3 linked regions of the Anolis sagrei genome follow. The protein of the gene in region 2 interacts with the protein of the main gene of each other region in a biochemical or structural test. Links are inferred from orthologs where the notes say so. Each region holds a gene or a part of one and is shown on either strand. Other genes may lie near its edges.

The links.
Region 1: the proteins of GIPC1 (region 2) and LRP2 form a complex in vitro, tested with the Homo sapiens proteins (2 studies listed by BioGRID). The link is inferred for Anolis sagrei from reciprocal best matches to the Homo sapiens genes GIPC1 and LRP2.
Region 3: the proteins of GIPC1 (region 2) and RGS19 form a complex in vitro, tested with the Homo sapiens proteins (2 studies listed by BioGRID). The link is inferred for Anolis sagrei from reciprocal best matches to the Homo sapiens genes GIPC1 and RGS19.

Annotation. Positions count from the first base shown.
Region 1 is NC_090021.1:195,060,791-195,068,537, forward strand, and holds the start of LRP2 (low-density lipoprotein receptor-related protein 2), read left to right. Parts: upstream 1-4,350; 5' UTR 4,351-4,406; coding exon 4,407-4,482; intron 4,483-7,747. UniProt on the Homo sapiens protein: Multiligand endocytic receptor. Acts together with CUBN to mediate endocytosis of high-density lipoproteins. Mediates receptor-mediated uptake of polybasic drugs such as aprotinin, aminoglycosides and polymyxin B.
Region 2 is NC_090022.1:128,028,039-128,036,062, forward strand, and holds the start of GIPC1 (PDZ domain-containing protein GIPC1), read left to right. Parts: upstream 1-4,456; 5' UTR 4,457-4,560; intron 4,561-8,024. UniProt on the Homo sapiens protein: May be involved in G protein-linked signaling.
Region 3 is NC_090024.1:237,535,587-237,544,246, reverse strand, and holds the start of RGS19 (regulator of G-protein signaling 19), read right to left. Parts: upstream 3,159-8,660; 5' UTR 2,782-3,158; intron 1-2,781. UniProt on the Homo sapiens protein: Inhibits signal transduction by increasing the GTPase activity of G protein alpha subunits thereby driving them into their inactive GDP-bound form. Binds to G-alpha subfamily 1 members, with the order G(i)a3 > G(i)a1 > G(o)a >> G(z)a/G(i)a2.

The sequences.
Region 1 (7,747 bases), on a different chromosome or scaffold from region 2:
CCCTCCCTCCCTATTTACAACATTTATATGCCACCCATCTCACCCTGAAGGGTCTCAGAGCGGCTTACAAGTAATATGTAAATACAATATATTATATTATGACCATAGCACAATATTAGTATTACATATTACTATATTGTACTATAACAGTGTACTGTAATATTATTAGTAATATTAAATGTAATATAAAATATATAGTTATAATATATTATTAGTATTATACTGTATTCTATTATAACATTATACAGTAAATATTATATGTATATAAAATATATATTATATTATATTATATTATTAGTACAGTGAAGGAGACTTTGGGTTACATTTCAGGGGAGTGGGAGAGAACAGGAGCACATCCAAGGTCTACAATCCCAGCAACAGGGAGGTGCTGCTTCCACATCAACACCTGTTTGGACAAGAATGAAGGTAAAAGGGAGAGAGCGATGTAAATAGCATAGGTCACTCTAAGGCAGACTGGGAATAATACAATTGGTTTGTAAATATGTAAGAGGTCGTCAGTGACGCAGAGGAATAAAATTGGATAATTACATAATTGCATACATTTTGGAAACATGGGTGTGCGTCCATTGAGATAGGAGCTTTAATAATACTACAAACTTGTTTCAGGCTTTAGAGTATTTAAAGCTCTTCATATACATTATATTGGTCATTATCACAATATTACAAGGATGGCCATTGCTATCCTCTGTTAGAAAACGGCAGAGAAATAAGTGTCTTGCCCTCAGAGGTCCTTTTTATATTGTATGTCACAACCTTCCAATCCCACCTGTTACACAGGCAAGGCAACAACAACCACCTAGCATTTTGCTACTGCCTTTCTGTTCAGGCATCTAAGAGCCCTTCCACACAGCCTTATATTCCTGAATATCAAGACAGAAAATCCCACAATTTCTGCTTTGAACTGGGTTATCTGAGTCCACATTGCCATATAGCCCAGTTTGAAGCAGAAAATGTGCGATTTTATTCAGCTGTGTGGAAGGGGCCTTGGTTGGCAATAATTTTCCAACAAAAACAGCAGGAGAGAATTTCTAGAACGCATCTCCACTGTAGAAGTGACACTACTTGTGACTGCTAGGGCTCAGTGATATGGAATCACGAGAGCTGTAGTTTTACAAGATCTTTAGCCTTCTATGCCAAAGAGTGCTGCACCCTTTAACAGAGAAGGCTTGCAAAACCACAACTCCCATGATTCCACAGCATTGAGGTTTGACAGTTTTAAAAAGGTAAATGTTTCTCCTTATAATTAAATCTAGTAGTGTCTGACTCTGGGAGGTAGTGTTCATCTTCATTCTAAGCTGAAGAGCTGGCATTGTCCGTAGACGCCTCCAAGGTCATGTGGCCGGCATAACTGCATGGCGTGCCATTACCTTCCCGCCGAAGTGGTACCTATTGATCTACTCACGTTTGCATGTTTTCGAACTGCTAGGTTGGCAGAAGCTGGGCCTAACAGTGGGGTTTACCCCACTCCCCAGATTCAAACCGCCAACCTTTTACCTTGACAGTCAACGTGGTGTAAAAATGCATTATATTCTACAATGTAGGTGCATCCCTGTGGATTCATGTTATAGTGTGTTGGAGCCTCCATAGTCAAGTCAGTTAAAAATTACAGGTTGCTCCACATCTAAAATGTGTAGATCCAAGTTTGCCTAGACTGAACCATCAGAAAGCAAAGGTGTTACTATCTCAGGCCCCATCTGCACTGTAATGTAATCTGAAACTTCATTATATGGTCGGTGACAGCTGATCTAATGCAGATCAATGCAGCGAGAGAGACATGATGGCCATGTATAAATATGTGAGGGGAAGTCATATAGCATTGTTTTCTGCTGACCTGGAAACTAGGATTTGAAGCAATGGGTTCATATTACAGGAAAAGGAGATTCCACCTGATCATGAGGAATAAATTCCTGACTGTGAGAGCTGTTCAGCAGTGGAACTCTCTGCCCTGGACTGTGCTGGAGGCTTCTTCTTTGCAGAGTCTGGACAGCTATCTGTCAGGGTGCTTTGATTACGTTTTTCTGCTTCTTGGCAGAATGGGGTTGGACTCAATGGCATGTGAGATCTCTTCCAACTCAGTGTTCCCTCGCTACTTCACGGTTCGCTTTTAGCGGACTCACTGTTTTGTGGATTTTTGAAAATATTAATATAAATTATAAAATATTTACGTCCAGTGGAGACCAGGGACCTTGGAAGTGTGGCAGCCTGAGGCATGGCAGGGAAGGTCTGCCTCCCTGGCCTGCTGTTGCCTGCATGGCTCTGGAGGCTCTGCAGGGGTCTGTGGAGGCCAGGGAGGCAGGCACGCGCCCTTGGGATGGGATGGGAGACGGGTAAGGAAGTGCAGGTGTATGTGTATATATATATATATATATATATATATATATATATATATAAAAATATAAAATCTATATAAATAAAAATGTAATGTTTGTTTGTGGAATTAACATAACTCAAAAACCACTGGAGAAATTGACACCAAATTTGGACACAATACACATATTAGGCCAATGAGTGACCATAATTCATAGAAACACTGAAAAACACAGTGGAAGGGATGTTAAAAGCCAAAAAAGCAAAAAGATGCTACAGCACAAGTGCATAAACGACTTCCCCTGGGCAAACAAAACACACAATAGCATATCCACACTCTCTTCCGGACTACTGCTCCCAGCATCCCCTAGACCAGGCCCTTTAGGAGAGGAGGATGATCCAAATGCACTACTTCCAAGCTGCAAGCTTTCTTCTCCTTAGATGTCTTTGAGAGCATCCCAGTCCCTGCATATTTCCAATTTCCTATCCCTATTCCTGGACTGCAACTCACAGCAATCCTCCAGATAGATAAGATAGATAGATTAGATCAGTGGTTCTCAACCTGTGGGTCCCCAGATGTTTTGGCCTTTAACTCCCAGAAATCCTAACAGCTGGTGAACTGGCTGGGATTTCTGAGAGTTGTAGGCCAAAACACCTGGGGAACCACAGGTTGGGAACCACTGGATTAGATGGAGATAGGTAGGTAGGTAGATTGATCAGGAGGACTGCTGGGAGTTGCAGTCCAAGAATAGGTAGAGAAGGAAGAAAGGGGAGAAAGAGGAAGGGAAAGCAAAAGTGGGGGGGGGGGGAGGAAGGGAAGAGGAAGAGAAGGAAGGAGAGAAGGAAAGAGAAAAAAAAGGGAAGGAAGGCAGGAGGGAGGGAGGGAAGGAATGAGAGAAAAAAAGGAGCGAAAGAAGAAAGTTGGCCACAGCAATGCGTGGCGAGAACAGCTTGTAATGTGTAAATATTAAAATTAATGTGACGTCCCTACTTTGCGGATTTTCACTTATTGCGGGGGTCCTGAAACGGAACCCCCGCAATAAGTGAGGGAACACTGTATATGATTCTAATTAATTTTTTTTTGTCGTGTCAGGAGCAACCTGAGAAACTGCAAGTCGCTTCTGTTGTGAGAGAATTGGCTGTCTGCAAGGACATTGCCCAGGGAATGCCCGGATGTCTGTTTTATCATCCTTGTGGGAGGCTTCTCTCATGTCCCCGCATGAGGAGCTGGAGCTGATAGAGGGAGCTCATCCGTCTCTCCCCGGATTCAAACCTGTGACCTGTCGGTCTTCAGTCCTGCCGGCACAGGGGTTTAACCCACTGCGCCACCGGGGGCTCCTTCTAATTAATTAATCTGCATTATGTGAGCCTACAGCAGGCATGGACAAACTTTGGCTCTCCAGCTGTTAGGAATGGTGGGAGTTGAAATCCAAAACACCTGAAGGGTCAAAGTTTGCCCATACCTGCCCTACAGGAACCATCTAATGCACTTTCAAGATGAGGCCTCAGCCACCCATGGGGATCATTTGGGAAATGTTGATAAATCAGGCCTGGAAAAACTTTGGGTTTGGATTTGGTTTTGAACTTCCACCATTCCTAACAGCCTTGTCGTTTTGCATTGCACTGATTTCTTTTCTTTCTTTTTTTGCATGACATGATAGGGGGTTGGACTGGATGACCCTTGTGGCCTCGGTCAGCTCTGTGTGAAAGAGAGAGAAAGATGTCTTCCTCGAGTTGGGTGCTGCCCGATTCTCCGGCGGGGAAAGAAGGCAGAGGCTGAAGTGGGACCGAAGGGGGGTTGCAAAGTGCAGAAGGAGGTGCACATACCTCATGCTAGTTCCGGGGCCGGCGGGTATAAAGCGCTTTATGCAATGCCTGGAGGCTGGGAGTAGTGTCGCGGGGAGGCGATGCCTCAGCTCAAGAGCAGCGCGCCTTTCTCCTCCAAGTAGCGGGACCCAGAGGAAGAGGAGGAGGAGGAGGAAGAGAGAAAGAAGAGAGAGAAAAAAGAGAAAAGAGAAAGAGAGGAGAAGCGCTTCCCGGGCAGCAGCAGCAGCAGCAGCATCAGCCCGGCAGCCCCGATGGGAGCCCCGGGCCCTGAGTGGAGAGTGCTCCTCTTCCTCGCCGCTTGCCTCTTCTGGCCAGCCCAGGGCCAAGGTAAGAGAAGCTTCCCCCACCCCCTCAAGGGACACGCTTTGGACTCAGTACAGAGCTCTTCTCCCACTTTCAGGACCGGGGAAAGGGTGGGAAAGTTTCCTCGACAGTCCGCTTTCAAGCTGGAGAGCCAGGCGCAACAGGTTCCCTTCCTTGCGGGTCTTCTTTCCCATATGGATGTAGTTTGATGCCATTTGAACTGCCTTGGATCACTGGCAGGGGGTTGTTTTTTTTGACAAGGTCTCTGCCAAAGGGTGCTCCAGGTGCCCCGCCAAGCTACATCTCCAAGACTTCACAGCATAGAGGCAAAGTGGGATCAAACTGCATTCATTCTGCAGTGTAGATACAACCAGGCACTCTCTTTATGGAGGGGAGTTCAAACTGAGCTCAAATTCTGCGGCCAAAGGAGCCTTGAGGAAAAAGTGGATTGGGAAGGGAAGGGAAATAGGTTCACTTACATACAAACACATATGTTATGCTACCTATCATCTATATCAAAATATGAAACATTTTCTGTTGCTTTCTTAGGCTATCCCTCATTGCCCAATGATGATGATGATCCTCCAAGTCTAGTGTCTTGGTGGTGGGTTCATAGGTGGTAGTGGATCCCTATTCTTGGGAGTTGCTGTGAGTTTTCTGGGCTATGTGGCCATGTTCCAGAAGCATTCTCTCCTGATGTTTCGCTCAGATCTATGGCAGGCATCCCCAGAGGCATCCATACCTAAAACTCTAAAACCAGGACAGTAAATATGCTGTGAGTTTTCAGAGCTGTCTGGCCATGTTCCAGAAGCATTCTCTTCTGATATTTCGCCCAGATCTATGGCAGGCATCCCCAGAGGCATCCACACCTAAAACTCTAAAACCAGGACAGTAAATATGCTGTGAGTTTTCAGAGCTGTCCGGCCATGTTCCAGAAGCATTCTCTTTTGATATTTCGCCCAGATCTATGACAGGCATCCCCAGAGGCACCCACATCTAAAACTCTAAAATCAGGACAGTAAATAAAGAGCAACACTCAAAAAGCAGGGGAATTCTAGATAAGAATCAGTCAGGGCCAGCTAACACCCCCCAACAAAGGAACCCCTCCCAGGTAGCAGCCAGCCAGGCTTTGAAGCTGCGTGGCTATTGAGTGCTAATCAAGGTGGCCAATTGCAACATTCACACTTGTCTCAAGTAGACAGAAGTTCTTTCTCCCACCCCGAACATTCCACACACACACATATATATATAAATCTCACTTGCCTAGTTTCCAACAGACCTCACAACCTCTGAGGATGCCTCCCATAGATGTAGGTGAAATGTCAGGAGAGAATGCTTCTGGAACATGGCCATATAGCCCAGAAAACTCACAGCAACCCAGTGATTCTGGCCATCAAAGCCTTCAACAACACAGTTTCTGTTAGAGCAATGTGTGTGTGTAATGTGAAATTTTCAAATAGTAGTTTAAAGATCTCGAGGGAGAGGTGAGGTGTCTGAATTAACCCTCTCGCCACACGCTCTGACAGTTTCTGTTAATATTTCCAGTGTGGTGCGTACTTTGAAAGTAGTTGTTATACTCCAGAAACTTTGTTTTTGTGGCTGCCACAAATTATGTTGAATCGGTTGAGTCTCGATTGAAAAGCTAAAGCAAAATGTGCTACAGGATGTCTCACAACAACAAAGTTTTTGCAGTTTAAAGAACCTTTTCAGTGTTTTTATGATAGAACCAGTTAGGAAATGACATTTCTAACCCAGGAACAAAAATCATGTTATGTTATCAATCAGTTTTGTACGCAAAGGGATCTGATACCGCCTTTGAGAGTGAGAGGAAGAAGTCGGTAGCATAAACCTTTCAAAGTGATGCCACTAGCTTCTTATTCTCACTCCATGCATGTGATGCAGTAGATATAGTAATACAAAAGGGTATGTTCTCAGCTTCTTTTTCTCACTCCATACATGGAATTTACAAGCTTAAAGTCTCCAAAAGCTGACACTACCAACTTCATTCTTTCACCAAATGCATGTAATGATGATTTAAGTTTCTGAAAGCCTAGGTTAGGAATTTCTTCCTCTCCATACATGCAACAAAGGGCCCTTCCAGACAAACCCTATATCCCAGGATCTGATCCCAGGTTTTCTGCTTTAAACTGGATTATATGAGTCCACATTGCCAGATAATCTGGGATAAACAGAAAACCTGGAATCAGATCCTGGGTTATACGGCCTGTCTGGAAGGGCCCAAAGAAGACCTCTGTGCCACCAACTTCTTTTTCTCATTGTGTATAATGAAGAAATATTTAGGATAAAGGTAAAGGTTTTCCCCTGACATTAAATCCAGTCATGTCCGACTCTGGGAGTTGGTGCTCATATCCATTTCAAAGCCGAAGAGCCGGTGTTGTCAGTAGACACCTCCAAGGTCATGTGGCCAGCAGGACTGCATAGAGTACCATTACTTTGACACCAGAGCAGTATCTATTGATCTACTCACATTTGCATGTTTTCGAACTGCTAAGTTGGCAGAAGCTGGGGCTAACAGTGTGAGCTCATCCTGCTCCTCAGATATGAACCTGTGACCTTTTGGTCAGCAAGTTCAGCAGCTCAGCGGTTTAACCCACTGTGCAACTGGGGGCTCCTGAAATCTTTAATTCCCCCAAATGTAGGCTACCAACTTCTTCCTCTCACTCCATGCATGTGATGAAGATGACTTAAATCTGGAAAATCCTATGCTACCAAATTCTTTCTCTCACTCCATGTATGAAGGATAAGTATCCATAAGCGTATGCGTCCAACTTCTTTCACTCCATATGTGTTATAAAAAACCCCGCCCCTTAAATCTTAGGAAATCATATGAAGTAAACTGCTTTCATTCCATACATGTGATGGAGAAGAACTTAAATCTAGGAAATTGTATGCAAGATCTCTTTGCATATTGATAATTCAGACTAAAGGAGCTTCCGGTGGCACAGCAGGTTAAGCCACTGAGCTGCCGAACTTGCTGACCAAGAGGTTGGCAGTTTGAATCTGGGGAGCGTGGTGAGCTCCCGCTGTTAGTCCCAGCTTCTGCCAAACTAGCAGTTCAAAAACATGCAGATGAGAATAGATCAATAGGTATTGCCTTGGCAGGAAGATAACGGCACTCCATGAAGTCATGCTGGCTACATGATCTTGGAGGTGTCTATGGACAACACCAGCTCTTCGTCTTAGAAATGGAGATGAGCACTAATCCCCAGAGTCTAACACTACTAGACTTAATGTTGGGGAAAACCTTTAGTCTTAATCCAGACTAAAT
Region 2 (8,024 bases):
CAGAAAAGTGGTTCTTGAAGGGCTGCTACTTTTCCTTCTGCCATACTGGCATCTGACCCAATGCAAAGCACCATCAACTAATAGCTAAGGAGATTTGGAAAGATCTGTTCAGCTTCAAAGTATTGGCCATGGGTATGTTCTAGAGCAGTACCCGTTAAGCTCTCTGATACATGGGAGTGGCAGGCTGTTTGTTTCCCAGTGTGCCAAAGACTAGCACTATATATAAGCCCATTGATTTTTTTTTCTTTCTTTCCTGGAACGTTTCTGTGGATTGACACAATTCCATAGACCACTGCTTTCAGTAGCTTTGTATTGGAAATTTTAACCATATTGACGAAAACTTGCTCAATAAGGTTCAGTTCTAGCTAGCACTTTTCATTCCTATAGGCTAGTTTTTTGTGAGTAAAACCTCTAATCTGAGCATACAATTTAGAGCTTCTCGCATGTCTGCAACAGAAAAGTCTCAATCACATCTTAAGCCAAGCATTTTATCTCAAAGGCATATAGCGTTTAAATACTTTAATGGCACCAGATTCTGTCTGATTCTGGAATCTACTTGTAAAATAAAGTAGAATCACCTCTAGTTACTACTTGGATGGGACAGCAGCAATAAATATTAGGCGCTGTAGGCTATATTTTAGGAGAAGGAACTGTCAAATGATGTCTGGATATTCCTTTCTTAAGAAAGCCCTGTGGGCTTGTTATTGAAACTATAACCCCAAAACCCACAACCAAGAGAGGTCTGACTAGATGGCCACGAAGGGTCCCACTGGCTGACATTAAAGGATAAACTTTACCACATTTACACACAGTTACACAAGCACTCCTGGAAGGGGGGGGGGGGGACGGACAGCCAGGGCTAATTTCATTACTCTTCCTGGTGGTTCAAACAATCACTTGGTGCTAATCCTTCCTGGCTAACATTGAACTCCACCTAACAATGGCCAGCCTGAAAGGTCAGCATGCTGTCTTTGTCTCTCCCTGGGTGTTTTGGCACCCATTATTTTCTATTGTGAGATCACTGACAGAATTAAAAACCATGAAAACTCATCAGTCCTGGACCTTGCCCACATTCCTTTCCTTTAAGCACCCAAAGGCGGACACGCAAAACAATCACAAGCTTCAAACTGGACAATAACAATTTAATTTCTGACAGACTGGGGAACTAGACTGAGGAACTAGTTAGACTGGGGAAGTAATCAGCTGCAGCAGCAGGCGGTGCTCCTCCACCAATCAGCACACAGATCGTAACCTATATCAATCAGCACCCGGAGCAGCAAAAGTCCATTATTTGAATTGCTGTCAAGTCTCTAATAAATGTTTCTTAGAGACATTTATGTATCTATGTATGTATCCATTGGCTTTATGTCTGATTTGGGAGCACTTCTTCCCTGACATCTACATTCGGCCAAAGTGAATAAACCTCTGGTTCTTGCCTTCACCCTGTTGAAGCAGAGCACGATTTTAGGGGGCCCTCCATGAGCAGAGGCTGGAGAGGACCCAAAAGGAGGGCTCAATAAGCCTGGGTAAACAATAAGCACCAACCAAACTTTCCCTATTTCCAAATAAATCTCACCAGGATGAAACAAGGCCACAGAAGTTTATTTTCTATTCCAGGTGGAAAGTAATCTGCCAAGAAGCCAACATGCTTTTTGGGCAGGCCAATACAGAATATATAGAACTGTCAAATCCAAATTTCCCACACCCACCCCGAGACAGCTTTGCTGTGATTGGCTCTGATGTCAGTGTAGAATATGGAAACAACATCTTTGTTTGGCCCCGAAGATCCAATCCATTATCAAAAGGTTCGGTGATATTGGTTTATTTGATAAGATCTTGGATCTTCTGGGACAGGGAATGGCTGTGACATCCCCTTCCCCTCATGGTTGGGGAAAATGTCCTTTGTGTCAAGTCATTACCATGTCCATGAGCTCCATACCTTAGGTGGTCTGGTCAAAAGACCTTCCGAAGCTCAAGGAAAAGGGGCTACTCACTCATTGTCCATGCATACCATAGGCCATGCACTTATTCAGTGGTTGTTTTGATGCTGCTGAATAGTAACTCTCCGCAAGATTCACTATGGTACTTGGGGCTGCTGGGAGTCCTTGTATGCCTTATTGTCTAATGCAGCACTGCTCCTTGTCATGGTCCAAAGGCAGGTGCTGGCTCACAAATTGCTAGGAAAGGAACAGCTGTAGTAAATGGGCACACATAAAATGCTAGTCCCTGGCTCACCTCAGACGGGTTAAGTAACACTTGTTTAATCTACCTCCTGGGAGTGTCAAGAGACCTAGATGTGACTAAACCCACTAATTTCAATAGATATTTCTTAGGCAACCAGGTGTCATCAATATTAATAACTGGCAACCTCTGATACATTAAAAATAGTGGTACAGGGAATTACACTTAACTTGATCTGCCAAACTAGCATTTTAATAACTTCTGAAGCTGGAGGAGGGTGGGTGAGTTACCTACAGAGAAAAGTATAATACTAAGCTTTCAATTAAAACACACACAAAAAGCAAACTGTCTTCAAAATGCAGTCCACATAAAGTCCAAATAGTTCAAATTGCTATCCAATTCAAAATATTATCCAAAGAAGAAGAGGTAGTCCCCCGAAAGAAGGCAACCTCAACCCGGGGATCCTTGTCACATTATAATTTATAATGTGACAGCAAGCATTATAATTTGGATAGTATTTTGAATTAGACAGCAATTCAAATGTCTTTTCTGGGGGACCCCTCCCCCCAGCACCAACTGCCGCTCTGGGCCAGAGTGAAGAGGGGGGGGGGGGGGCAGGGAACAGTTCCATCTTGTCTCCTGTGCTATGCTAATAATATAATGAAACGTAATATAATATATTGTATATATACATATAATATTTATAGTATTATAATGTAATACAATATAATAATAATATGATATTATAATTATATATTTTATATTACATGTAATATTACTAATAATATTACAATGTAATAGTATAGTACAATATAGTAATATATATAATAATAACACTTTATTTGTACCCCACTACCATCTCCCCAAGGGACTCGGTGCGGCTTACATGAGGCCGAGCCCACAATACAACAATAAACAATAATATCAACAATACAAAACAATAAATAAACTCATAAGCAAAAATAAACAATAAACATTAACAATAACACAACGTATTTAAAAACCTATGGCCCGGCCAAATTTAATAATTAAAAAATTAAAAAATAATGCTGAGCATGACAAGGTGACATGTAACTGGGATAGAAATTTTGGAGAGGGAAGAAATGTGCAGACAATCTTAAATCATTATTAAAGTGCGTTTAGGGACATATTGCTGGGAGTTTCCTTATTCTGGGAAGGCACACTGAAACAGCCACGTTTTCAGGCTCCTCCTAAAGACTGCCAGAGTTGGGGCTTGCCTAATGTCCTTGGGAAGTGAGTTCCAGAGTCGAGGGGCCACCACCGAGAAGGCTCTCTCCCTCGTCCCCACCAATCGCGCTTGCGATGGTGGTGGGAGCGTGAGCAGGGCCTCTCCAGAAGATCGAACAGATCGTGTGGGTTCGTACACAGAGATACGGTCACGCAGGTAGGCAGGTCGCAAACCGTTTAGGGCTTTGTAGATAAGCACCTGCACCTTGAATTGGGACCGGTAAATGAACGGCAGCCAATGGAGCTCCTTAAACAGGAGGGTTGACCACTCCCTGTAAGGAGCTCCAGTTAACAACCTGGCCGCCGCTCGTTGAACCAATTGAAATTACCGGGCCGTTTTCAAGGGTAGCCCCACGTAGAGTGCATTACAGTAGTCCAATCTGGAGGTGACCAGATCCGCCAATATGATACTGATATTGTACTATGCTAATAATATAATATATTGTATGTATATATATCTTGTAAACCTCTCTGAGTGTCCTTTCTGGGTGAGAAGGGCGGCATATAAATGTCGTAAATAAATAAATAATTTTCAGGCGCGGATGACTGAATCCGCGGATACACAAGGTCGCTTGCCATTAGCCGGATGCGCCTGCGCGCGCAGCTTTCCGACCTGCGTTGACTCTGGCCGCGCCCCACCAACAGGCCCTTCCCTTCCTGAGAACAGAACAGATGGGTCGCCTCTGGCTCAGACCACGCCCAGCTTTCGGCCTTGTTATTGCTTCCAGAAGGCTGTAGTGACAGCGATTGGCCAGTAGAGGCTGCGAGGGCACAAGCACGAACCAAACGTAACTTTCGGGGCTGGGAAGCCGGCGCATTCTTTGAATGGCCCTCCCCTTTTCAAGATTGGTATGCCCCGCTCCCTCGCGCTCTTCTTTCCCCGCCTCCAATCCCGCCCCTTCCATTGCACCTTTATGGGGGAGAGAGGCGAAAGAGAAGAAGGAAGGGACCTGCCGTGAAACGCCCTCAACGTCCGCCTTAACCCTGTGATTTGCCAGGGAAGAATGCGAAACGCGCTGGGATTGGCCAGGAGGCACGGCGTTTCGGTCCCGCCCATCGCTGACGGACAGGCCTGTCTGCGCGGGGCTGGAGTTGGCTTGAGGGACGGGCCCGGCGAGGAAACGGACGCGGGTAAGGAGAGGCGGCGGGGAGAACGGGGTCCAGGGGCAGGAAGGGGCCAAGACGGGTCTTTTGTAGACGGAAAGGCAGAGCTCAGGAGTCCCGGCTCCTCACGCTTCCCTCCCTCAAACCCGTAAGCTGCGTGCCTGTTCGCACATGCAGGAAACCCAGTCCCGGTTGCTTGGATACGACGACATTCGTGGGAAGGAGACCCCAGGAAGGCCTCCTTTAGTAGTCATGTTTTGCCCTGAGGGACTTCCACTTCGTTGGAGCCAAAGCCATGGTTGCTGGGTTCTTTGAATGAAGTTCTGCCTTGTCACAAAGTCACATGACACCCCCCCCCCCGCCCCAGTTGGAGTTTGTTTTCCTTTCTCTCACGCCTTTTCTTTGCCTTTCCCTCCCACTTTCAGGAAAGAGGGTTGGATGGAGTTTATAGTCCATGCTCGCACACATCACTGTCATGTATTGAAAGTTTTTGTTTATTTTATTACATGGGAAGTTTCCCTCTAGGACTAGAATTCCCAATCTTGGATCCTTCTGGTGTATTGCGACTCCCAGCATTCCTGGCTGGGAGATATCTGGGGTGTATCTACACCAAGGAATGAATGCAGTTTGACACCACTTTAACTGAAGTGGCTATTTATTTATTTACAGCATTTATATACCGCCTTTCTCATCTCTGGGGGGACTCAGAGTGTCTTTGGGCTCCTGGGAGCTGAAGCTTCACAAGGTCTTCTGCATTCTCTGTCAAAGAGCATTCATACCTCATCAAACTACAAACCCAGGATCCCATAGCATTGAGCCATAGTATTAAAGTGGTGGCAAGTGTATTACCTATATATACTCGAGTATAAGCTGACCCAAATATAAGCCAAGGCACCTGATTTTACCACAAAAACTGGGGAAACTTATTGACTGAAGTATAAGCCAAGGGCATTAAACTGCTGAGCCCCTGAACTTGCTGACCGAAAGGCTGGTTGTTCAAATCCAGGGAGCAGGGTAAGCTCCCTCTGTTAGGTCCTGCTACTGCCAACCTAGCAGTTCAAAAACATGCAAATGTGAGTGTATCAATAAGTACCACTTCTGCGGGAAGGTAACTGCGCGCCATGCAGTCATGCCGGCCACATGACCTTGGAGGCATCTATGGACAACGCTGGCTCTTTGTCTTAGAAATGGAGATGAGCACCACTCCCCAGAGTCAGACACGACTAGACTTGATGTCAGGGGAAACCTTTACCTTAAGCTAAGGGTGGGAAATGCAGCAGCCACTAGTAATTTTTTTTAAAAAGGTACAAATAAAATTACATTAATGGAGGCATCAGTAGGTTAAATGATTTTGAATACAGTATTTACATAAAACTGTAATTTAAGATAAGACTGTCCAACTCTGATTAAATCATTATTCTAACCTTATTCAATGTAAGTATGCTTACATATCCTTTTCAATAATCTCCGTAGTTTATTTTAACCATACATCTTGGGGAAAATGCTGTGTGTGTATGAATAAGGAAAAGAGGAAAAGACTGGTGCCAAGGGAGGAGGAGGGGAAGGCGCGTGCTGTGCCGAGAGAGGAGGAGAGGAAGGAGAGCTGGGTTGGTGTGCAGAGATGTGAGGGTCCTTTCAGCCCCATGCCTTCCCACTAGGACCTTCACCTGAGTATAAGCTGAGGGGGGCTTTGTCAACCTAAAAAAGGACTGAAAGACTAGGCTTATACTCGAGTATATACAGTAATTCAACAGTGTAGCTGCTCCCCCAGAGGACCAAAGTTTGGGAACCACTGGAGGATGTTTCCATATGTTTTATGGTCCTAGAGTTTTTAACAGGTAGGTCTTTTAGAGCAGACATGAGCAAACTTTGGCTCTCAAACTCCCATAATTCCAAATAGCCGGTAGACTGTTAGGAATTGTGGGAGTAGAAATCAAAACATCTGGAGGGCCAAATGTTTTTGAGTCTCCCCTTGTTCAAAATATATTTAGGTCTTTGACTGTTGCCTGTTTGCCTTGTTCTTCCTGGTACATGGTGTTTTGATGGCAGGTTTCCTCTTGGGATCTCCAGTGCAATGGGAGGGATAGTTCAGTCCTTACACTGACTTTGTTTTCCTTTTACTGTAGTGTAGGTATTGAGGGTAACCTGGTAGCAACACCCAAATGCCAAGCAACAAAGGAAGCATACTTTCCTGCTTGCTGTGTGCTATCTAATATCCTTCTACTGTGGCATTAGTGTTTTCATAGGGAGCTAAGAAACAAGGGAAAAAAATCACATGCCACTTGTATTAATCTGTTTGTTATTCTGCTTAGCCCTTTCCCCTCATTCTGCAGATACTCTGTGTTTTCTGGCACGTGTTTGGCTCTGTAAGGTGTGGTGTTGGGTATAACCAGATTTTTCTACTTAGTTTAGGTTTGCCTCGGGATTCATAGTTTGATACCCTTTTAAGTGCTATGGTATCCTAGGAGTTGTAGTTTGGTTAGGCTCCAACTCTCTTTGGCAGAGAAGGCTCAAGACCTTGTAAAACTACAACTTCCACAATTCCATTGCATTGAGCCATTTAAGTTACAGTCATGTCAGTCTGCATTAATTCTACAGTATAGCTCAGGCATGGGCAAACTTTGGCCCTACAGGTGTTTTGGACTTCAACTCCCACAATTCTGGGAGTTGAAGTCCAAAACACCTGGAGGGCCGAAGTTTGCCCATGCCTGGTATAAATACACCCAGTGTCAGAGAAAAATACACGAGGCCTAGTTGCTGTTGAACAATTGACCATTTGCTCTTCTTCAGCTGCTTCTCAGGGGTAATTTTTTTTTGTCTAAGCCCCTCCAGCATGCAATATTCTCCCACATCTACCCACTGCTTTTCAGAGATAAACTCAGCACTTGGCACATACCTAATATTTGGCAGGTTTCGTCTGTAGCCAAAGCTGTTTGAAACCTGAAAACTTGAGTTCAAATGCCAGTGATATGATGTTGGGCACTCTGAGACTTTCAGTGGCTGGTCTTTAAAAGTAAGCATGGTAATTTTTATTATTGAAAGCCCTATATGGTCTGAGTACACTTTTGTAGAGAAGTGTCACCTCTCATGATCTAGAATCATAGAATTGCAAGATACCACAAGAGCCATCCAGTCAAATACCTCCCTGCCATGTAGGAACACATAAACAAAGCCAAACCTCAGCTCTAGAACTTGTTTCCCTCCTGTTCTTGACAAATGAGTGTAGCTGTTAGAGAAAATAGCTCTTTAGTGTTGGCACCCTGTCTATGAATGGCTTTTTCAGAGAGTTCTGCTTTCTTCCACAATGTCATCTTAGGTCTTAAGGAGAAACCTTTATTCAGCTAAGTCTTTAAAAAAAGGTTATTCCTACCAGCCTTGTTTTGCTTTTGTGCACTGTTGTTGTGTTACATCTGGTTTCTAATTATTGTTTGTGTTTTACATTTTAATATATACTGCATAGCCACAAAACTCTGGTTACTGGAGAGTCTAAA
Region 3 (8,660 bases), on a different chromosome or scaffold from region 2:
ACAGTCATGAAGTAGCAATTAAAATAATTTCATGGTTGGGGGTCACCACCACATGACAAACTGCATTAGGAAGGTTGAAAAACACGATATTGTTGAATGCATCTGGAACATGGCCATACAGCCGAGAAAATTCACACTGGGCCCTTCCACACACTGGGTTGTTGTGAGTTTTCCGGGCTGCCCTTCCACACAGTCCTATATCGCAGAAAATCCCACAATATCTGCTTGGAACTGGGGGCTCTTCCACACAGCCTTATATCCCAGGAATATCAAGGCAAAAAATCTCACAATATCGGCTTTGGACTGGATTATCTGAGTCCACACTCAGATAACGTGGGATTTCCTGCCTTGATATTCTGGGATAAAGGGCTGTGTGGAAGAGTTCTGCGTTATCTGAGTCCACACTCAGATAATGTGAGATTTCCTGTCTTGATATTCCAGTATATAGGGCTGTGTGGAAGGGCCCTGCATTATCTGAGTACACACTCATGTAATGTGGAATTTCCTGCTTTGATATTCTGGGCTATAGGACTGTGTGGAAGGGTTCTGTGTTATCTCTCCACACGCTGATAATGTGGGATTTTCCGCCTTGATATCCTGTGTGGAAGGGTCCTGCGTTATCTGAGTCCACACTCAGATAATGTGGGATTTCCTGCCTTGATATTCCAGGATATAAGGCTGTTCTGCATTATTTGAGTCCTCACTCAGATAATGTAGGATTTCCTGCCTTGATATTCCAGGATATAAGGCTGTTCTGCATTATCTGAGGCCTCACTCAGATAATGTAGGATTTTCTGCCTTGATATTCCGGGATATAGGGCTATGTGGAAGGGCCCTACGTTATCTCAATCCATACTCTGATAATATGAAATTTCCTGCCTTGATATCCTGTGTGGAAGGGTCCTGCATTATCTCAGTCCACAATCAGATAATGTGGAATTTCCTGACTTGATATTCCAGTATATAGGGCTGTGTGGAAGGGCCCTGCGTTATCTGAGTACACACTCATGTAATGTGGGATTTCCTGCTTTGATATTCTGGGATATAGGGCTGTGTAGAAGAGCCCTGTGTTATCTGTCGACACGCTGATAATGTGGGATTTTCTGTCTTGATATCCTGTGAGGAAGGGTCCTGCGTTATCTGAGTCCACACTCAGATAATGTGGGATTTCCTGCCTTGATATTCCAGGATATAGGGCTGTGTGGAAGGGGCCTGGATTATCTGAGTCCTCACTCAGATAATGTGGGATTTCCTGCCTTGATACCCTGTGTGGAAGGGTCCTGCATTATCTCAGTCCACATTCAGATAATGTGGGATTTTCTGCCTTGATATTCCGAGATATAGGGCTGTGTGGAAGAGTCCTACATTATCTCAGTCCACACTCAGATAATGTGGGATTTCCTGCCTTGATATTCCAGAATCTAAGGCTGTGTGGAAGGGCCCTGTGTTATCTCAGTCCACACTCAGATAATGTGGAATTTCCTGCCTTGATATCCTGGGAGATAAGGCTGTGTGGAAGGGTTCTGTGTTATCTGAGTCCACACTCAGATAATGTGGGATTTTCTGCCTTGATATCCTGGGAGATAAGGCTGTGTGGAAGGGCCCTGCGTTAGCTCAGTCCACACTCAGATAATGTGGGATTTCCTGCCTTGATATTCCAGGATATAAGGCTGTTCTGCGTTATCTGAGTCCTCACTCAGATAATGTAGGATTTTCTGCCTCAATATTCCGGGATATAGGGCTGTGTGGAAGGGCCCTGCGTTCTCTCAGTCCATACTCAGATAATGTGGGATTTCCTGCCATGATATCCTGTGTGGAAGGGTCCTGCGTTATCTGAGTACATACTCAGATAATGTGGGATTTCCTGCCTTGATATTCCAGGATAGAGGGCTGTGTGGAAGGCCCTACTGTTGTAAAGAGATGGATTTGCAAGACCAAAACTCCTGCGACTGGCCTTGTGAAGCCTCAGGCAGCCTTTGATCTGGTGGGTCCCCAGGTATTGCCCTCCAAGAGGCAAGGAAAGGAAGCCACCTGAATAAAAGGTTTGGGGTACAAGAAAGGTGACCCTTCAAGAGGAAGAAACTGGTTGCCCTGATGGGGTTCCTCCCAAAGGGATCTTAATGGCACTCAACGCCTTGCTCTGCCATCGCCCCAAACATCTCTCTCCTTTTTGCCTTGAGCCTCTTTGGCCAAACCTGGCACATGGCTCTCATTAGGAGCCAGCCTTGCAGACCATGGCATGCCTTCTTCCTACCTGGTAGGAACCTCAGGAAGAAGAGAAGGAGGGGGGTTCAAGGGGAGACCCCAAACCCAGGTCTTCCTCTCCCATTCCACGCCAGCAAGCTCTCCCTCCCTGTTTCCCCTCTATTGCAATCCGGCCGCACACTTGATGCATTCACCCGACAACACGCGCCTGCCTTTCCCTTCCTAAATTTAATACATTTGTGAATATATCTCTCCTTTGCAAGACTGTTTCTCCTTCGGCCCCTTCTCCCCTTCCCCTCGGCTTTGCCAAAGGGCCCAGGTCCCTTCCCAAGATACAGATGTAGCCAAACCTCATCCAAAAAGGAGAGGAAAAGCAGGAGAAGCAGCACAGGAAACTGAGGAAAAGGCGAGGGAGCCTCAGCCAGGTTGGATCCGATTTCACTCCCAAGGAAACACCTCCCTCCCCCCCCTCACCCCCCTCCCTTTTGCCCAATCCTGGGCAGAGTTGCCCTCTCCAATGGAGGTCCCTTTTGGCAAAGGCACTCAACCCAAACTCAGGGGGTTTTGGGGACTCACGTTTGGTGCATCCGAGATCCCTGCCGCACATCCGTCCCTTTTTCCCTTTCCAATCCCCTATTTTTTTCCTCCGCCGCCTCTTCTTTTTTAGCTCCCTTTTTGGGGAGGAAGAAGGGGTGCCAAGGGAGGAGGAAGAGGTGGAGGTGGGGAAGCCACTTGGAGAGAGAGGAAAAAAAATCAAAAAAAGGGGAAGAAAAATACTGGCTGGCAGGGTCTCTCCACTGCGCAGGCGTCCCCCAGCCCCGGCGATTGACTTCCGAAAGCAAAGGGCTGTTTTTTTGCACTTCCTTGCCTGCTCCGCTTTATTTATTTATATTTGGCAGGATCTGGGCGAGAAGGGGGGAAAAAAGGAGAAGGTCTTCCTTCTGCCCACCTCCGCTTGGCTGCTTTCCTCGGCCTTTCCCCGGTTGCAAGGCAATCCCAGGCGGGGAAAAAAAAAAAAAAAGAGAAGATGAGCCTTCATGCAGCTTGCAACAGCAGCCCAGAGGAGTCCAAGGAGGGGAAACACACTCACCTCTGCAATGCATCTCCTGACAGATTTTCTGTAGAATCAAAGAGTTGGAAGAGAGGCTGGATGGCCATCTGTCAGGGGTGATTTGAATGCAATATTCCTGCTTCATGGCAGGCTGGATGGCCATCTGTCAGGGGTGGTTTGAATGCAATATTCCTGCTTCTTGGCAGAATGGGGTTGGACTGGATGGCCCATGAGGTCTCTTCCAACTCTTTGATTCTATGATTCTATGAGACCTCGTGGGCCATCCAGTCCAACCCCATTCTGCCAAGAAGAAGGAAAATTGCGTTCAAAATACCCCCGACAGATGGCCATCCAGCCTCTGCTTAAAAGCCTCCAAAGAAGGAGCCTCCACCACACTCTGGGGTAGAGAGTTCCACTTCTCAACAGCTCTCACAGTCAGAAAGTTCTTCCTAATGTTCAGTAGTTTGTAGTTTGAAGCCATTAGAATCATAGAATCAAAGAGTTGGAAGAGACCTCATGGGCCATCCAGTCCAACCCCATTCTATTGGATTCAAAGCACCCCTGACAGATGGCCATCCAGCCTCTGTTTAAAAGCCTCCAAAGAAGGAGCCTCCACCACACTCCGGGGCAGAGAGTTCCACTGCTGAACAGCTCTCACAGTCAGGAAGTTCTTCCTCATGTTCAGATGGAATCTCCTCTCTTGTAGTTTGAAGCCATTGTTCCTTGTCCTAGTCTCCATGGAAGCAGTAAACAAGCTTGCTCCCTCCTCCCTGTGGCTTCCTCTCACATATTTATACATGGCTATCATATCTCCTCTCAGCCTTCTCTTCTTCAGGCTAAACATGCCGAGCTCCTTAAGCTGCTCCTCATAGGGCTTGTTCTCCAGACCCTTGATCATTTTAGTCGCTCTCCTCTGGACACATTCCAGCTTGTCAATATCTCTCTTGGATTGTGGTGCCCAGAATTGGACACAATATTCCAGGTGTGGTCTAACCAAAGCAGAATAGAGCATGGGGAGCACAACTTCCATGTTGCAACAAATAAGGTATAGGGTTTGCTCTCTAGAAGCCCAAGAAGGGTTTGGCTTGTTTCCTTATCCATACCTTGTATTTCATAGAATCATAGAATCAAAGAGTTGGAAGAGACCTCGTGGGCCATCCAGTCCAACCCCATTCTGCCAAGAAGCAGGAATATTGCATTCAAATCACCCCTGACAGATGGCCATCCAGCCCCTGTTTAAAAGCTTCCAAAGAAGGAGCCTCCACCACACTCTGAGACAGAGAGTTCCACTGCTGAACAGCTCTCACAGTCAGAAAGTTCTTCCTAATGTTCAGGTGGAATCGCCTTTTTTGTAGTTTGAAGCCATTGTTCCGTGTCCTAGTCTCCAGGGCAGCAGAAAACAAGCTTGCTCCCTCCTCCCTATGACTTTCTCTCACATATTTATACATGGCTATCATGTCTCCTCTCAGCCTTCTCTTCTTCTGGCTAAACATTCTCAGCTCTTTAAGCCACTCCTCATAGGGATCTTTAAGCCACTCCTCATAGGGCTGTTTAAAAGCTTCCAAAGAAGGAGCCTCCACCACACTCCAGGGCAGAGAGTTCCACTGCTGAACGGCTCTCACAGTCAGAAAGTTCTTCCTAATGTTCAGGTGACATCTCCTTCCTTGTAGTTTGAAGCCATTGTTCCGTGTCCTAGTCTCCAGGGCAGCAGAAAACAAGCTTGCTCCCTCCTCCCTGTGACTTCCTCTCACTTATTTATACATGGCTATTATGTCTAAAATGTGGAGGCCATGACAGACTGTATTTCTAGGTGCAAAGATTACTGCAGATGCAGAATGTAGCCTGGAAATCAGAAGACACTTACTTCTTGGGAGGAGAGCAATGTCCAATCTCAATAAAATAGTGAAGAGTGGAGACATCAGACTGGCAACGAAGATCCGCCTAGTCAAAGCCATGGTATTCCCTGTAGTCACCTACGGATGTGAGAGCTGGACCTTAGGGAAGGCTGAGCGAAGGAAGATCGATGCTTTTGAACTATGGTGCTGGAGGAAAGTTCTGAGAGTGCCTTGGACTGCGAGAAGATCCAACCAGTCCATCCTCCAGGAAATAAAGCCCGACTGCTCACTGGAGGGAAGGATACTAGAGACAAAGTTGAGGTCCTTTGGCCACATCATGAGGAGACAGGAAAGCCTAGAGAAGGGAATGATGCTGGGGAAAGTGGAAGGCAAAAGGAAGAGGGGCCGACCAAGGGCAAGATGGATGGATGGCATCCTTGAAGTGACTGGACTGACCTTGAAGGAGCTGGGGGTGGTGATGTCCGACAGGGAGCTCTGCCGTGGGCTGGTCCATGAGGTCACGAAGAGTCGGAGACGACTGAACGAATGAACAACAACAATCATGTCTCCTCTCAGCCTTCTCTTCTGCAGGCTAAACATGCCCAGCTCTTTAAGCCGCTCCTCATAGGGCTTGTTCTCCAGACCCTTGATCATTTTAGTCGCCCTCCTCTGGACACATTCCATCTTATCAGCATCTTCCTTCAAATGGGTTTTCCCCCTTCCAAAACAGATTTCTTCTTGCAAAAGCAATATGAATGTCCGACATGCCAACAACCTGGGGCCTCCTGCCTAGTGGAACCATCCCTACAGAAACAATACACTTCTGGAATGAATGAATGAATGAATGATGGGTCTACAATACCCGAAAGGCAGCAGATCCCATCTGATCTTGGAGGCTGAGTCCTCTTCCACACAGCTGTATAAAATCCACATTGAATTGGATTATATGGCAATCTGTACTCAGATAATCCAGCTCAAAGCAGATATTGTGGATTATTTGCCTTGATGTTCTGGGTTATATGGTTGTGTAGAAGGGCTCTTAGCCTTAGATGGAAGACTAAGGATCATTTTAGTCGCCCTCCTCGACACATTGCAACTTGTCAACATCTCCCTTCAATAATGGTGCCCAGAAGTGGACGCAATATTCCAGATGTGGTCTAACCTTGTCTTCCTTCCTTCCTTCCCTTCCCCTTCCCCTTCCTGCCTCCCTCCCTCCCTCCCTCCCTTCCCCCCTCCCTCCCTCCCTTCCCCCCTTATCTCTCCATGGGAAGTTACTCCTGCATGGCCAGGCACTTTCCCTCTGCCGTTTGGACTTGCTTCTGAGTTGTCTTGGATCTTAATCTTGGATCAAGGATGGAGAACCCTTTTCATACCTAGTTGGGAGAGCTGCTGGGCTTTTGAGATTGTACAAGAACATCCGGTATATAAAAGACCGGTATATAAAAGTTCTAAATAAATAAATAAATAAATTTCCATTTCTAAGCTGAAGAGCCGGCGTTGTCCATAGACACCTCCAAGGTCATGTTGGCTGGTATGACTGCATGGAGCACAATTACCTTCCCGCAGACGGTACCTATTGATCTACTCACATTTGCATGTTTTCAAACTGCTAGGTTGGCAGGAGCTGGGGCTAACAGCGGGAGTTCACACCGCTCCCCGGATTCAAACTTGTAACCTTTCGATCACAAAGTTCAGCAACTCAGCACTTTAACCCATTTTGCCACTGAGGGCTCCTAGAGGTATATATGGCTTTCCCATCTTCGGCATCTTGGAGGTTGTGCTCGATTCTGGCCACAGGGGGTGCTCTTGCTCCATCCAATATGCCAAAGAGCCCTGTCCACAGACTTCCTCCTTTGATTGAATAGCCTGCATTTCATATATATATATATTTCCTTATGGTGCCATGTAATATACCTTCCAAATTAAGCGGTACCTATTTATCTACTTGGGCCCCCTTGGTGATGCAGCGGGTTAAACCACTTAGCTGCTGAACTTGCTGACCAAAAAGTGTGCGGTTCACATCCGGAGAGCGGAGTGAACTCTCACTGTTAGGCCCAGTTTCTGCCAACCTAGCCGTTTGAACACATGCAAATGTGAGCAGATCAATAGTTACCGCTTCTGCGAGAAGGCTACGGTGCTTCATGCAGTCATGCTGGCCACATGACCTTGGAGGTATCTATGAACAATGCAGGCTCTTTGGCTTAGAAATGGAATTGAGCACCATCCCCAGAGTCAGACACGACTAGACTGTATGCCAGGGGAAACCTTTACCTTTTTATTTATCTACTCAGAGTTTTTTTTTATCTGCTAGGTGGGCAGTGAGCTGAGCTGAAGGTCACGCTTCAAACTGCCAACCTTTCAATTGGCAAGATTTATTTCAGCTGTGGGTTAACCTACTGTGCTAAATGAGCATGTGAAGTGTGCTTTTTCCACGGAAGAGTCTTTAGGGAAAATTCTGCATGGCAATATTTGTGGGGGGGGGGGGGGGGGAGTGAAATGCACAATTGGCAGAAGATTGGATTGGATAGCCCTTGTGGATGGCCCACAGCTATGATTCTGTGATAGAATGAGTGACACCTGGCTTGAAAACAGTCCATTTGAAAGGAATCTAGGAGTCGATGTAGATTCTAAACATGTCAACAGTATGATGCGGTAGCTAAAAAAGCCAATGTGATTTTAGGCTGCATCGATAATATAATGTCCTGTCCAGATTGAGGGAAGTACAGGCCGACTCTATTCCACCTCAATCATGCCTCACTGGGAATAACGGGGCGAATTACAGAACACATATACAGCAAATATTTAATGTTGCTATACAATTGACAAGGACAGACCATACATAAACAGAGCTTTTCCCATCTTTTTCCATCTCTTGCATCTGGAGGCTGTGCTCGACTCAGGCCACAGGAAGGTGCTGTCGCTCCATCTTCCATGCCAAGGAGCTTTGTTGTCTGTAGATGACCTTTCAATCAAATTGTTGGCATGTCCTTATGGGTACGTTGTATTACCTTCCCCTTTTAAACCGGTACTTATTTATCTATATTGCTGTTTTCTATCTGCTAGGTGAGCAGAAGCTGGGCTGACAGCTAGGAGCTCATCCTGACCCAGGCTCAAGCTGTCAACCTTTCAGTTGGCAAGATTTCTTGCAGCTGGTGGTTAACCTGTTGCGCTAAAGCCCGGACAAAATAGTCCAAGGTTTGCAAACCAAGCCCTATGAGAAACAGTTGAGGGAGCTGGTTTTCTTGGAGAAGAGAAGGGCAAGATCTTTAAATATTTGAAAGGATCTCACATTGAGGAGGGGGCAAGCTTTTTTCTTCTGCTCTGGAGACTTGGATACAATGGAGTAATGGATTCAAATTGAGGGGAAAGGGATTCCATCTAAACATTAGGGAGATCTTCCTGACTGTAAGAGCTGTTCAGAGCTGCCTGAAAGTGTGGCAGCATCTCCTTCTCTGGAGGCTTTTTGAAGAAGCTGGATGGCCATCTGTTCTGTGTGTTCCTCCAGGGAGTTGGATTGAATGGCCCTTGGGGTACCTTGCAATGCTTTGATTCCATTCTATTCACCTCCT